4 linked regions of the Callithrix jacchus genome follow. The protein of the gene in region 1 binds, or shares a complex with, the protein of each later gene. Links are inferred from orthologs where the notes say so. Each region holds a gene or a part of one and is shown in the gene's direction. Other genes may lie near its edges.

The links.
Region 2: the proteins of NLRP5 (region 1) and TLE6 are in contact, whole or in part, in a cryo-EM structure (PDB 8H94), measured with the Mus musculus proteins. The link is inferred for Callithrix jacchus from reciprocal best matches to the Homo sapiens genes NLRP5 and TLE6. Residues at the interface, in NP_035990.1 of Mus musculus: Gln185, Phe188, His283, Arg307, Glu326, Lys327, Lys329, Ser330, Ser334, Pro335, Leu336, Met444, Ala447, Glu448, Trp451, Tyr465, Tyr507, Tyr508, Glu511, Glu515, Asn517, Phe520, Phe522, Leu540, Met543, Lys544, Leu547, Val571, Lys574, Leu575; in NP_444484.1 of Mus musculus: Pro147, Gln148, Pro149, Val150, Cys158, Gln159, Phe161, Leu162, Ile163, Gly165, Leu166, Trp167, Leu169, Phe170, Ser173, Arg174, Gln175, Lys176, Asn177, Ala247, Asp248, Lys249, Phe250, Lys252, Pro253, Ser255, Trp256, Leu261, Glu262, Cys265.
Region 3: the proteins of NLRP5 (region 1) and OOEP are in contact, whole or in part, in a cryo-EM structure (PDB 8H93), measured with the Mus musculus proteins. The link is inferred for Callithrix jacchus from reciprocal best matches to the Homo sapiens genes NLRP5 and OOEP. Residues at the interface, in NP_035990.1 of Mus musculus: Glu173, Leu176, Leu195, His196, Gly202, Leu206, Asn322, Leu325, Glu326, Tyr337, Ile338, Leu339, Val340, Glu341, Gly342, Leu343, Ser344, Ala345, Ser346, His373, Asn625, Gln626, Asp652, Ser655, Glu661, Leu662, Cys663, Pro664; in NP_080756.1 of Mus musculus: Ser26, Leu27, Arg28, Leu29, Arg30, Thr31, Arg32, Ile38, Val41, Asn43, Tyr48, Met49, Leu75, Leu86, Glu88, Pro95, Thr99, Lys102.
Region 4: NLRP5 (region 1) and KHDC3L share a complex: the UniProt entries of both Homo sapiens proteins name them as parts of the subcortical maternal complex. The link is inferred for Callithrix jacchus from reciprocal best matches to the Homo sapiens genes NLRP5 and KHDC3L.

The regions. Positions count from the first base shown.
Region 1 is NC_133523.1:48,863,523-48,867,088, forward strand, and holds part of NLRP5 (NACHT, LRR and PYD domains-containing protein 5), read left to right. Parts: intron 1-1,021; coding exon 1,022-1,192; intron 1,193-2,516; coding exon 2,517-2,687; intron 2,688-3,566. UniProt on the Homo sapiens protein: Component of the subcortical maternal complex (SCMC), a multiprotein complex that plays a key role in early embryonic development.
Region 2 is NC_133523.1:2,770,304-2,773,550, forward strand, and holds the end of TLE6 (transducin-like enhancer protein 6), read left to right. Parts: intron 1-581; coding exon 582-732; intron 733-1,417; coding exon 1,418-1,494; intron 1,495-2,418; coding exon 2,419-2,523; 3' UTR 2,524-2,700; downstream 2,701-3,247. UniProt on the Homo sapiens protein: Component of the subcortical maternal complex (SCMC), a multiprotein complex that plays a key role in early embryonic development.
Region 3 is NC_133505.1:78,457,544-78,460,615, reverse strand, and holds OOEP (oocyte-expressed protein homolog), read left to right. Parts: upstream 1-1,196; 5' UTR 1,197-1,301; coding exon 1,302-1,491; intron 1,492-1,694; coding exon 1,695-1,874; intron 1,875-2,210; coding exon 2,211-2,290; 3' UTR 2,291-2,513; downstream 2,514-3,072. UniProt on the Homo sapiens protein: Component of the subcortical maternal complex (SCMC), a multiprotein complex that plays a key role in early embryonic development.
Region 4 is NC_133505.1:78,451,298-78,454,721, forward strand, and holds KHDC3L (KH domain-containing protein 3), read left to right. Parts: upstream 1-1,502; 5' UTR 1,503-1,572; coding exon 1,573-1,741; exon of another isoform or gene 1,742-1,936; coding exon 1,937-2,116; exon of another isoform or gene 2,117-2,154; intron 2,155-2,397; coding exon 2,398-2,735; 3' UTR 2,736-2,911; downstream 2,912-3,424. UniProt on the Homo sapiens protein: Component of the subcortical maternal complex (SCMC), a multiprotein complex that plays a key role in early embryonic development.

The DNA.
Region 1 (3,566 bases):
CTCAGCTACTCGGGAGGCTGAGGCAGGAGAAATGCTGGAACCCGGGAGGTGGAGGTTGTGGTGAGCTGAGATCGCATCACTGCACTCCAGCCTGGGTGACAGAGCCAGACACTGTCTCAAAAAAATAAAGGTACCTTCAATCACAGCTGGCACTTTCCCTGCCCTCTGTCACGGCTCTCTTGAGCCAGGAGATACCACACAGTCTAAGCCCTTGACAGGAACGGACAGAAAAGTCCCCCGTCAGGAAGCAATAAAGATTCCTCGGTCAGTGCTGCTGAACAATCTCCCACTGTCCATGGTCCCTGAGAGACGCTGACTCGCTCTGTCTCCCACTGTCCCCAAGAGATGCTGACTCACTGTCTCCCACTGTCCATGGTACCCGAGAGACGCTGACTCACTCTGTCTCCTCCTGTCCATGGTCCCCTAGAGACGCTGACTCGCTCTGTCTCCCACTGTCCCTGAGAGATGCTGACTCGCTCTGTCTCCCACTGTCCACGGTCCCCGAGAGACGCTGACTCGCTCTGCCTCCCAGTGTCCCTGAGATGCTGACTCGCTCTGCCTCCCAGTGTCCCTGAGATGCTGACTCGCTCTGTCTCCCACTGTCCCCGAGAGACGCTGACTCACTGTCTCCCACTGTCCCCGAGAGACGCTGACTCACTGTCTCCCACTGTCCCCGAGACACGCTGACTCACTGTCTCCCACTGTCCGCGAGAGACGCTGACTCGCTCTGTCTCCCACTGTCCCCGAGAGACGCTGACCTGCTCTGTCTCCCACTGTCCCCGAGACGCTGACCCGCTCTGTCTCCCACTGTCCCCGAGAGACGCTGACCTGCTCTGTCTCCCACTGTGCATGGTCCCCGAGAGACGCTGACTCGCTCTGTCTCCCACTGTCCATGGTCCCCGAGAGACGCTGACTCGCTCTGTCTCCCACTGTGTACGGTCCCCGAGAGATGCTGACTCGCTCTGTCTGTCCCCCACTGTCCCCGAGAGAAGCCGTCTCACTCTGTCTCCCACCTCTGCAGGCTGGTCAGCTGCCGTCTCACTGCTGAGTGCTGTGAGAGTCTGTCCTACGTGATGGCGAGGAGCAGATACCTGAGGAGCCTGGATCTCTCGGACAATGCCGTGGGTGACGTCGGGGTCACTGCGCTGTGTGAGGGGCTGAAGCAAAGGAAATGTGTTCTAAGGAGACTGGGGTAACTTCCTGGGGTGTCTCTGAGGGCCAGGCTGGGAGGAGGTGGGGTACCCCAGTGCGAGGTTGTCTGAATGAGGATGTGGGTGGATGGCAGTCCTTGTAGCACCACAGCTCTGGGTATAAGTTACAGCTGGGCTCCCGCAGTGTGAGTGGCTGCCTGTAACCTCAGCTACTCTGGAGGCTGAGGCAGGAGAATCACTTGAACCCGGGAGGTGGAGGTTGCTGTGAGCCAAGATTGTACCACTGCACTCCAGCCTGAGTAACAGAGTGACACTCTGTCTCAAAAAAACAAAAACAAAAAAGGCCGGGCGCGGTGGCTCAAGCCTGTAATCCCAGCACTTTGGGAGGCCGAGGCGGGTGGATCACGAGGTCAAGAGATCGAGACCATCCTGGTCAACATGGTGAAACCCCGTCTCTACTAAAAATACAAAAATTAGCCGGGCGTGGTGGTGCGTGCCTGTAATCCCAGCTACTCGGGAGGCTGAGGCAGGAGAATCACTTGAACCCAGGCGGAGATCGCGCCATTGCACTCCAGCCTGGGCAACAAGAGCGAAACTCCATCTCAAAAAAAAATTGCTCGTACAGCGCTGACAGCTGCCACAATGTGGGTGAGCCATGAAAACATCCCGCTGAGTGAAAGAAGCCAGCCACGGAAAGTCACAGGGTGCATGAGACGCTTGGGAGCAAGGTCTGGGGGTGGAAAACCCTCAGCTGCCCATTGAGCGACCCCTGTGTCTAGTCCTGGCGCTAAGTGGCGGGAGTACGGAAGCGGGAAGACGTTTGTGTTGTGTGAATGGTCTAGAGACAAAGAGGAGGAGGAACCAAGGGATGGATGACCCGAGTGGCCCTCGGAACTCACGTGAGCATCAGGATCTCCCGGGGGCTTGTAAAGGCGGCGTTCCCACGTGAGGGACTGTGGTTCAGCCATAGAAAGGGGAGTGCTGAGGCCGGGCACGGTGGCTCAGGCCTGTCATCCCTGCACTTTGGGAGGCCGAGGCGGGCAGATCACTTGAGATCTGGAGTTCGAGACCATCCTGGCCAACATGTTGAAACCCCATCTCTACTAAAAATAGAAAAATTAGCTGGGCATGTGATGGCAGGTGCCTGTAGTCCCAGCTACTCAGGAGGCTGAGGCAGGAGAATCGCTTGAACCCGGAAGGTGGAGGTTACCGTGAGATGAGATTGCGCTGTCAGACTCCAGCCTGGGTGACACAGCGAGACTCTGTCTCAAGTGAAAGTGTCAAGGTGAAATTCACAGGGGTTGAGTGAAGGAGCCGTCATTGATCTTTGGGGTTATTTTCCGGGTGTTCTGGGCGACGCTGCAGGTTGAAATCATGTGGATTGACTTCTGGTTGCTGTGAGGAACTGTCCTTGGCCCTTTCCTGCAACCGGCACCTGGCCGGCCTAAACCTGGCACAGAATAACTTCAGTCCTGCAGGAATGAGGAAGCTGTGTTCAGCCTTCGCGTGTCCCACGTCTAATCTACGAATCATTGGGTAAGTCCCTGGCGATTGTCTTCTGAGCTACAGACCTGCTTCTGTTCCAGGCTTCGTAGCTGGTGGAGAAGTAGGTTATGGGAAACGTGGAGGTCATGGCTTGGCAGCCATATTTTTACTCCATTGGTGAGTGCCCACTATGTTGTGGGTATTGTGCTGGGTGCCGGAGACACAGGGATGTGGGAGATAGAGACCAGGTGCCTGATACCATGGAGCTTACTGCTGGGTGGGTTGGAAAGGGTGCAGAGAGAGCATTATTAGTGTTTATGCTGAGAAAACTGGAATTGCTCTATGATCCAGCAGTGTCACTTCTGAGTATAATATTCCCACAAGAATCAAAAGCAAGATCTCAGATCTCACACTCATGTTCCTAGCAGCATAATTCATAATAGTAGCCAAGAGGTGGGAGTAACCCAGGCGTTTGTGGATGAAAGGATAAACAGAATGTGGCATGTACAATGCGATGGAATTCAGCCTTAAAAAGAAAATTCTGGGCTGGGCGGGGCGGCTCAAGCCTGTAATCCCAGCACTTTGGGAGGCCGAGGCGGGTGGATCACGAGGTCAAGAGATCGAGACCATCCTGGTCAACAACGGTGAAACCCCGTCTCTACTAAAAATACAAAAAATTAGCTGGGCATGGTGGCGCGTGCCTGTAATCCCAGCTACTCAGGAGGCTGAGGCAGGAGAATTGCCTGAACCCAGGAGGCGGAGGTTGCGGTGAGCCGAGGTCGCGCCATTGCACTCCAGCCTGGGTAACAAGAGCGAAACTCCGTCTCAAAAAAAAAAAAGAAAAAAAAAATTGACACCTGCTACATGACGGAACCTTGGCATGCTAAGTGGAATAAGCCAGTGCTAAAAAGACAAATAATGTAGGAATAG
Region 2 (3,247 bases), about 46 Mb from region 1:
CAAAACCATTATCTGGGTGTGGTGGCGGCACCTGTAGTCCCAGCTACTCAGGAGGCTGAGGCAGGAGAATCACTTTAAACGGGAAGGTGGAGGGTGCATTGAGCCGAGATCGTGCCCCTGCACTCCAGCCTGGATGACTGAGCGTGACTCCATCTCAGAAAAAAAACAAAAAAAATTTGCTGTTTAAATAAGAAACACTTGGCCAGGTGCAGTGGCTCACGCCTGTAATCCCAGCTACTGGGGAGACTGAGGCAGGATAATCGCTTGAACCGAGGAGGTGGAGGTTGCTGTAAGTCGAGATCACGCCACTGCGCTCCAGCCTGGTGACAGAGCGAGACTGTTTTCTTAAAAAAAAAAAAAGCTTAAATGCTATATTGGGTGCAGAAGTAGGGAAGACTGTGCTCATATTACAGACCAACAAACTGAGGCACAGACACGAAATGACTTGGGCCAGGGCTGGGCAGCTAGGAAGGGGTCAGGCACTCAGCCTCCAGGATAGGACCCCAGTCTCCTGCCTGCCTTTTGGGCCAGGCTGGGACCTAACCAGCTTCCTCCCTCCCCACTGCCCTTTCATTGCCCAGATAATGAGCCTGTCCCACAGTCCCCAAGAGGACTGGCTGCTGCTGGGCATGGCCAACGGCCAGCAGTGGCTACAGAGCACCAGTGACAGCCGGCGGCAGCTGGTGGGGCAGAGAGACGGCATCATCCTGAGCGTCAAGTTCTCCCCCTTCGGTAAGTAGCCGGCGGAAGGAGGGGGGTCTCCCCCGCAGCCCCCAGCCTCCCACAGGACCCCATCCAATGCCAGCTCCCCACCCAACCCTCTAGGGTACCTCAAAACCTTTCTGGAGGCCGGGCGTGGTGGCTCGCACCTGTGATCCCAGCACTTTGGGAGGCCGAGGCGGGCGGATCACCTGAGGTCAGGAGTTCGAGACCGGCCTGACCAACATGGAGAAACCCCGTCTCTACTGAAAATACAAAAATTAGCCAGGTGTGGAGGCACGTGCCTATAATCCCAGGTACTCAGGAGCTGAGATCACACCATTGCACTCCAGCCTGGGCAACAAGAACAAAACTGTCTTCCCCCGCCGCCCAAAAAAAAAAAACACTATTCCAATACTGCACCAGGCCAGTATCCTGGTATCTCTGCAGCTACTCGGGAGGCTGAGGCAGGGGAATCGCTTGAACCCAGGAGCTGGAGGTTGCAGTGAGCCGAGATCACGCCATTGCACTCCAGCCAGGGCCACAAGACCAAAACTATGCCTCATCCCCCACCCCCCGAACAATCAAACAGCAGCTGTTCCATAGCAGAAGCCAATTTTGGGGCTGTTCCTCCAGGGGGACAAGGGAGGGAAGGGGGTGGGTGTCTGGGCCCTGCCCCTCCCCCACCTGGTGCTCCCACCACCCTTGTTCCTCCCAGGCCAGTGGTGGGCGAGCGTGGGGATGGACGGCTTGCTCAGCATCCACAGCATGCCAGTGGGGACAAACGTGTTCCAGGTACTGTGGGGTGAGCTGGGGGTGGGACCTTGGGGTGGCCCCAAAACCATGTTTCCAGCCTGGGCAACACAGCAAGACCCTGTCTGTACAAAGAAAAAATTAAAAATTAGGCCAGGCTCGGTGGCTCACCCCTATAATCCCAGCAGTTTGGGAGGCTGAGGCAGGCAGATCATGAGGTCAAGAGATCAAGACTATCCTGGCCAACATGGTGAAACCCCATGTCTACTAAAAATACAAAAAAAATTAGCCAGGCGTGGTGGTACACACCTGTGGTCTCAGCTACTTGGGAGGCTGAGGCGGAAGAATCGCTTGAACCCAGGAGGCAGAGGTTGCCGTGAGCCAAGATTGTGCCACTGCACTCCAGCCTGGTGACAGAGCCAGACTCTCAAAAAAAAAAAAAAAAAAATTACCCAGGCATGACAGCTCACACCTATAATCCCAGCACTTTGGGAGGCTGAGGCAGGAAGATCCCTTTCAGTTAGGATTTCAAGACCAGCCTGCCCAACACAGTGAGACCCCATCTCAACAAAAACTCAGAAAAGGCCGGTCAGGGTGGCTCACGCCTGTAATCCCAGCACTTTGGGAGGCCGAGGCAGGCGGAATTGCCTGAGCCCATGAGTTCAAGACCAGCCTGAGCAACACGATGAAACCCCGTCTCTATTAAAATATAAAAAATCAGCCTGGCGTGGGTGGAGGAGACCTGTGGTCCCAGCGACGCGGGAGGCTGAGGCAGGAGAATCGCTTGAACCCGGGAGGCGGAGGTTGCAGTGAGCTGAGATCCCACCATTGCCCTCCAGCCTGGGCAACGGAGCAAGACCCTGTCTTGTCTTCTTGGAAGAGCCCATGCCTCATGCTAGAGCTGACGGGTAAAGACCAGGGGTGCGTGAGCCCTTCCCCAGCTCAGTGCCTACGGTTCCCCCTTAGGTACCCGAGACGTCCCCGATCCTGTGCTGTGACATCTCGTCCAACAACCGCCTCGTTGTCACCGGCTTCAGTGAGCACGCCGCCGTGTACCAGATGACCTACTGAGGGGCCTTGGCTGCCGTCATCGGACTGCACTCCTTTCTGTCCCCCGCCTTTTTCTTCCCCCAACCCGGTGGTCGTGGTGGAGGGAGGTGGGGAAGGGTCTTCTACCGTGTTGAAAACCCCCCTCTGTGGTGAGCTGGCTCATTGCCATCACACGTAATAAAGCATCCAGGAAAAGCAGAGCGGATGCGGCCTGTCCTCTGAAGGGGAAGGGGCCTCCCCATCCCGTCCCTGCTCGTTTTGTGGAAAATTGGAAGGACTTTATCCAGCCTGGTGGCTCTTAGCCTTTTTTTTTTTTTTTTTTCCTTCCAGGATCTGTCGCGAAGGCTGGAGTGACGCCACCGTCCTCTCCATCCTCCTGCCTCACCCTCTGGAGGAGCTGAGACGGCAGATGTGCGCACCACGCCCGGCTGATCTAATCTTTTTAGATGCTGGGCACGGTGGCTGACACCTGTAATCCCAGCACTTTGGGAGGGCGAGGCAGACAGATCATTTGAGGTCGGGTGTTAGAGACTGGCCTGGGAAACACGGTGAAACCCCGTGTGTACTAAAAATACAAAAAATTAGCTGGGCGCGGTGGCTCAAGCCTGTAATCCCAGCACTTTGGGAGGCCGAGGCGGGTGGATCACGAGGTCAAGAGATCGAGACCATCCTGGTCAACATGGTGAAACCCCGTCTCTACTAAAAATACAAAAATTAGCTGGGCGTGGTGGCGCGTGCCTGTAAT
Region 3 (3,072 bases), on another chromosome or scaffold:
CCAGCCCTTTGGGAGGCCAAAGCAAGAGGACTGCTTAGGTAGGAGTTCAAAACCAGCCTGGCAACATAGTGGGACCCTGACTCTACAAAAAAAAAAAAAAAAAAAAAAGATGGAAAATAGTTGGGTGTGGTAGCAGGCACCTGCAGTCTCAGCTATTCAGGAGGCTGAAGTGGGAGGATCACTTGGGCCTGAGAGGTCCAGGCTGCAGTGAAAACTGAGATCGTGCCACTTCATTCCAGCCTAGGCAATAGAGTGAGACCTATCTTGGAACAAAAGAATTTTTTTTTTTCCCGTTCCCCAGAAAATATTTTTTAGAACAAACACATAGTTAACTGTAAGAACAAAATAGTATATTCGGCAGATACTGTCTATTCTGAAACAACTACCAAACTATTTCCAGAAATACAGTAGAAAATATGTAAGGACATGCATGGGGATGAAATACACTAGTTCAGGATGATGTCCTCTAGGGAGGGAAAGGAAAGATACTTGAGTAATACCTATTTTAAAGAACAGAGAAGTGAAGCAAATGTGGGGAAATGTCAACATCTGTTAAACTGGGAGAGGATACATGGCTGTGTCATATGACTCTTGGGTGTGTGAAACTTTTCATAATTCAAATTTTTAATTAAAATTACAAACATTGAGAAGAAATATGCATCAATACTGGCTGTCTTAGGTTGTCTAGGAGAGTGGAAATAAAGGAAAACTGTGTAACTTGCTACATGTTCTATAAGCCCACCTCTGATTTTTTGCTTAAAACATGACACACTTCCTGGAATAATTTCAAAATGGTAACCATCCAGAGAGTCAGAAGATAAAAAGGGGGCAGAAGAGAGAAAACTGACACATTCAACAAACCTGCCTGGGTTTGATCTACCTGTCTTTAGAAGGCAACGTCGAAACCTTAACCTAGACAGCAAAGGTGATTCCCAGTCAACACGGTCGTCGATTCAAACTCACACTTAATCAGCTATACGATGAGCAGAGGCCTTTTAGGCTAAATACCTTACGAGGCAGAGATGTCGAAGGAGACAGTTGAAGACCCAACAGGAGCCCAAATGAATACTAGTTCTAGGTCAAAAAGGCAGTCCCGACGATTGTGGCAGCGCAGAAAGTGCCCGAAGCGCCACTAGGCCCAGGCGTCGATTGCATCAGCTCACCCGGAAGCGGTGCCAGGCGCCGCCGGAAGGGGCGGAGCGGGTCGAATACTGTAAAAGAGAGCCGGAGCCTCGCGGCTGAGTCTGGAGGAGGTCACGTGAAAGCCGTCCCGCGTGCACTCCGCGGCTGCTGGTCCCAGTATGGTCGATGACGCTGGTGCTGCTGAGTCCCATTGGGGCAAACAGACCCCGGCCCACTCCCTGGAGCAGCTGCGTAGGTTACCACTTCCGCTGCCACAGATTCGCATCCGGCCCTGGTGGTTTCCGGTGCAGGAACTGAGAAACCCTTTGGTGTTCTACCTGGAGGCATGGCTGGCAGACGTGCTCTTTGGTGAGCAACCTAGACTCTTAGTCTCTCAGTCTGAGAGAGGCTTGGCAGAGCAGCTCTCTACAGCCTCTTTCCCAGATTCTCAAGCCAGGAGTGTTGCTGTGGTGCCCACCTTCCAGCTGTTCCCTTCCCTGGTCAACATTTTCTTCAAATCAGCTTCTAACCTGTGACTGCGGCCCCTAAATAGTCTTTCCTTACTTGTTTAGGCCCAGACCGAGCCATAATTCCAGAAATGGAGTGGACTAGCCAGGCCCTGTTGACAGTGGACATAGTGGACTCTGGGAACCTAGTAGAAATCACCGTTTTTGGACGGCCCCGTGTACAGAATCGGGTGAAGAGCATGCTCCTGTGCCTGGCATGGTTTCACCGAGAACATCGAGCCCGAGGTGAGGGTCTTTGAGAAATTACACATGGAGGAAGCCACGAGTGACCATACTGGTCTTGCTCGGCTTCCTTCCATCCTCCCTTAACCTCTTAATTTCTTGGTTTCCGCACCCCAGGAAGTTGCACGAAGTTTTTTGGGAGGGGATCCCCGAGGTAGGACCTTGGGAAAGTCAGTGGAGATCTGATAGATTCAGGCCCATCACTGCCCAAGTCAGCCTCAGCTGGGCTACAGCACTATCGCAGATCCTCCTCTCCTCCCCAACTCCCAATCACTGAGTAGTTTGAAACAGCGAACACTTCTCCCTGTCCATGGTTAGTATCAACTCTTTCTCTTCCAGCTGAGAAGATGAAACACCTTGAGAAGAACTTGAAGGCCCAAGCATCAGACCCCCACACTCCCCAGGATTCTGTTGCTTAAGACAATAGTGTCAGTAGCATCTTGAGAACTTTGCAACTTCTGCTGCTAAAGTTGAAGAGAAGCAAGTATAGCATTCCTAAATCCCTGCATTTGTTTTTCCTGTGTCTTGATTCAGTGTGGTTTATTTTGTTGCAAGAGTGAATTTGAACTATTCTAATAAATGGCTATTTTGCCCAGTGACATTAAGATCTTCATACACTTATAATAAAGCAAATTTATAAAAGATTGACTCATTCATGTTTTGATATGAAGGGTAGGTAGAAGGCTGGCAGGTTGTAGTTTTGTAGGGTTTATTCCTGAATTCCCTCATCTTGAAACTCCTAATCCTTTTATGATTTTATGGTCAGAGTCAGGCCCTCAGCCACAGGGGGCAGATAGCCTCACAAATGGTGATCTGTTTTGTTTTTAGTCATTGGTTCTCAAACTTTAAAGCTTGTAATAAATCACCTTGGGAGTTTGTTAAAACATCATTTCCTAGGCTCCTTCTTCAGAAGATTCTGATTCGGTACTGTTGGGGTATGGTTTATTATTTGCATTTCTGATGAGCTCACAAGTACTCCCAAAGCAGCTCATCTGAATTTCTCACTTTGAAGCTGGTAGTTGACCCCCTGAGGAGCACCGGCTGTGCCTTTTCTTAGAGTGAGGCCTTCGTTGGCCACTCTAAGAAAAGTGATTCCAACGAGCAAGCCTGGGCAGTTAGCATTCATTAACCCTAGCATTGCAATCCCCATGGAAGAGCAGGGATCCCGGGCACCTTTGCTTGTGGATGGTGCCTTGCCTTG
Region 4 (3,424 bases), on another chromosome or scaffold:
GTGGGGGGGGGTTCCCTACTAGGGAAACTGAGGCGGGAGCATATCTTGAGCCCGGGAGATGGAGGCTGCGGTGAGCTATAATCACATAACTGCACTCTAGCCTGGGTGACCACAGAGTGACTCTGTCTCAAATTTAAAAATTGTGGCTTAGCTGGGCGTGGTGGCTCACGCCTGTAATCCCAGCACTTTGGGAGGCAGAGGCGGGCGGATCACCTGAGGTTGGGAGTTCAAGACCAGCATGACCAACATGGAGAAACCCTCTCTCTACTAAAAAAAAAATACAAAATTAGCCGAACGTGTGGTGCACGTCTGTAATCCCAGCTACTGGGGGCGGGGTCTTAAGGCATGAGAATCGCTTGAACCCAGGAGGCAGTGGTTGCAGTGAGCCGAGATCGTGGCATTTTACTCTAGCCTGGGCGACAAGAGTGAAACTCCATTTCAAAAAACAAACCAAACAAAGCAAAGAAACAAAAAATGGTGGCTCACGCCTGTAATCCCAGCACTTTGGGGGCTGAAGCAGGTGAATCACGAGGTCAAGAGTTCAAGACCAGCCTAGCCGACATGGTGAAACCCCGTCCCTACTAAAAATACAAAAATTAGCCGGGCGACATGGCTCGTGCCTCCAATCTTAGCTACTAGGGAGGCTGAGGCCGGAGAATCGCTTGAACCTGGGCGGCAGAGGTTGCAGTGAACCAAGACGGTGCCACTGCACTCCAGCCTGGGCGAGAGTGACACTCCGTCTCAAAAAATAAATAAAAATAAAAATAAAAATGGAAATATCAAAAAATTTCAAGGAATCTCCTCTGGTATCTAAACCACGGGAACTGTCTGTGGTTGGGTGGGTTCAAGGCTGCATTAATTAAAAGCGCGCCACAGTCCCACCACTGGGGATGATAAGGAGGGAGGATTTTTTAACTCCCCAGAGTTGAAAACCAGCAAGAAAGCCAGATCCCATAACTTTTTTCCTATCCATTTATTTTTTTTTTTACTATGCAAATCTCACTACACAGACCCTATAACTTAAAAAAAAACAAAAACAAAAAAAAAAAACCCTTATTCTGCCCTGTACTCAGCTGTCTCAGGCAGGTAACAGAATAATCTGAAAACCTGGTGCCAGAGGAAGTAAACATAGTGGCCAGGGATAAGAAGCTCTGGGAGACCTAAGAAGTATTCATTCTGCAAGTATCAGTTCCTTCTTCTGAGAAAAATACTGGGCTTATCCACGCCTTCCTGAGTCCATCTTTAAGACTCCCGCGGCTTTCCACTGGATTCCTGGAGCCCAGAGCCCGGTTTCTCCCACCGGGTGCGCTGAAGAAGGGCTGTTCCTGACAGAAGGAACCCTCTGAGAGCAGCCCAGAAACCAGCGCGCTTGTGCGGCCTCGGAAGAAGCCAGGGCCCTAGGAGACGGAGGCGACGCCTGGAGTCCAATGAGAAGGGAGCGGATGGAGAGGAGGGGCTGGCCAAAAGCCCTTAAAATAAGACCCAGCTGTAAGCGCAACTCTAGTCGCCTACCTCCAGCTCGTCCTTTGGGTTTGCGGTTGTGCTCTGGTCTCCTGCAGGGCGGGCGGCAGCATGGACACTCCCAGACGGTTTCCGACGCTCGTGCAACTGATGCAGCCAAAAGCAATGTCATTCGAGGTGCTCGGTCAGCTCCCCAAGCAGTTCTCCTGGTTCCACTCTGAGTTTCTGAAGAATCCGAAGGTAGTTCGCCTTGAGGTTTGGCTGGTGGAAAAGATCTTCGGTGAGTGGACTAGGGACGGGTAACCCTCATGCGGCTTCTTTCTGCACCCATACCTACACCCCACATGTTCTGGCCGCGTTCCAGGGCAAACCTCCCTAGTAGCCAATGTCCTCTGGCTGTCTCCTCCTTCCAACTTCCTCTCCCAAGGCCCCTGGGAGCTACCCGTCCCTCACATCCTCTCTGCTCTCGGCGCAGGCAGAGGCGGAGAGCGCATCCCGCAAGTCCAGGGTCTGTCCCAAATCCTGATTCACGTGAATCACTTGGACCCCAGCGGCGAGGCTGAGATCTTGATATTTGGGAGGCCTTCTTACCAGGAGGACACAATCAAGATGATCGTGAACTTGGCTGACTATCACCGCCAGCTCCAGGCGAAAGGTACGAGGTTGAGAAAAGGACTACTTTGAGCAAATCCTGTCTCCGTAGGAGTGATCCTGGGTTTTACTGGCTGCTGGGGCGGCAGTCTCGCCCTCCCAGTCGGCCCGCGGTTGGTGGGTGAGGGAGGGGGCGGTTCTGGTCGCCACGGATCGAGAAGGCCAAACTGAACTTGCGTTCTGGGATTCCTGGCTCCTACTCCCGTAGGCCACATGGGTGACTGTCCTTTTTTAGAGAGGATATAGGGATACAGCTGTGGCCTCTGCACACTGCTCTTCTTCCAGGCTCAGGAAAGGCCCTCGCCCAGGATATAGCCACTCAGAAGGCCGAAACCCAGCGGTCTTCAATAGAAGTCCGGGAAGCCGGGACACAGCGCTTGGTGGAGGTCCGGGAAGCCGGGACCCAGCGTTCGGTGGAGGTCCGGGAGGCCTGGACCCAGCGTTCGGTGGAGGTCCGGGAGGTCGGGACACAGGGTTCTCCGGTGGAGGTGCGGGAGGCCGGGACCCAGCAGTCCCTCAAGGCTGCCAGTGAGTCGGGGACCCAGCGATCTCCCGAAGCTGCCAGCAAGGCACGGACCCAGCGGTTTTACGTGGATGCCCGGGACCCAGTTACTAGATTATGAAGGCATTTCAGGCCCTGGAACCAGAGCCAGTCAGGGGTTAAGTGGAAGCCCGATACACTTAAGCCTCAGAAGGTGGGGTTGGGGGTGGGGGAATCATGATGTGAATTGTTTTGTTTTACCCCTTCTGTTGAATGGTTGCAAACACAAACTTGAGTTCTAATAAAGAATTGCATTTCCCTAACGTCTGTTTTTTGGAAGGTAGAGGGGAGGGAATGCCCATTCCTATATCAGCCCAATTCTGCCCTGCGCCGCTTTCCACCTCGAGGCAGGTGGGACCTCGGGTTCTTAGCCGCCCAAGGTCGCAATCTACCCCGGCTGCGCTTCGGTGTGTCCCTTGTGCTCCTTAACCGCGTTCATCTGGTTTACCCAGGTGAGAATCCTATCTAACCCACTAGGAAACCTCTCCAAGCCCGCTCTGGTTCTACTCAAGGTTAACTTGGGATGAGAAAACCGGGTCGCTTGGGGCTCAGCTGGATTTGGAATACCCTGTGTGTATTGCGATTCTGCCACAGACCACTTTCCCAGTTAGGGAAAATGACATCGGGGAAGGGGGAAACGGAGAGGGCCGAGCTGTGCCACTGTTGCCGTTGTCAGGTCTTGCTTGGGTCACCGACTTTGCACGAAGGTCGTGGACACCAAGATGCAGGCATCGGCTACTCTGGCCGCGAAGAGTCCCAGCAGAGAACACT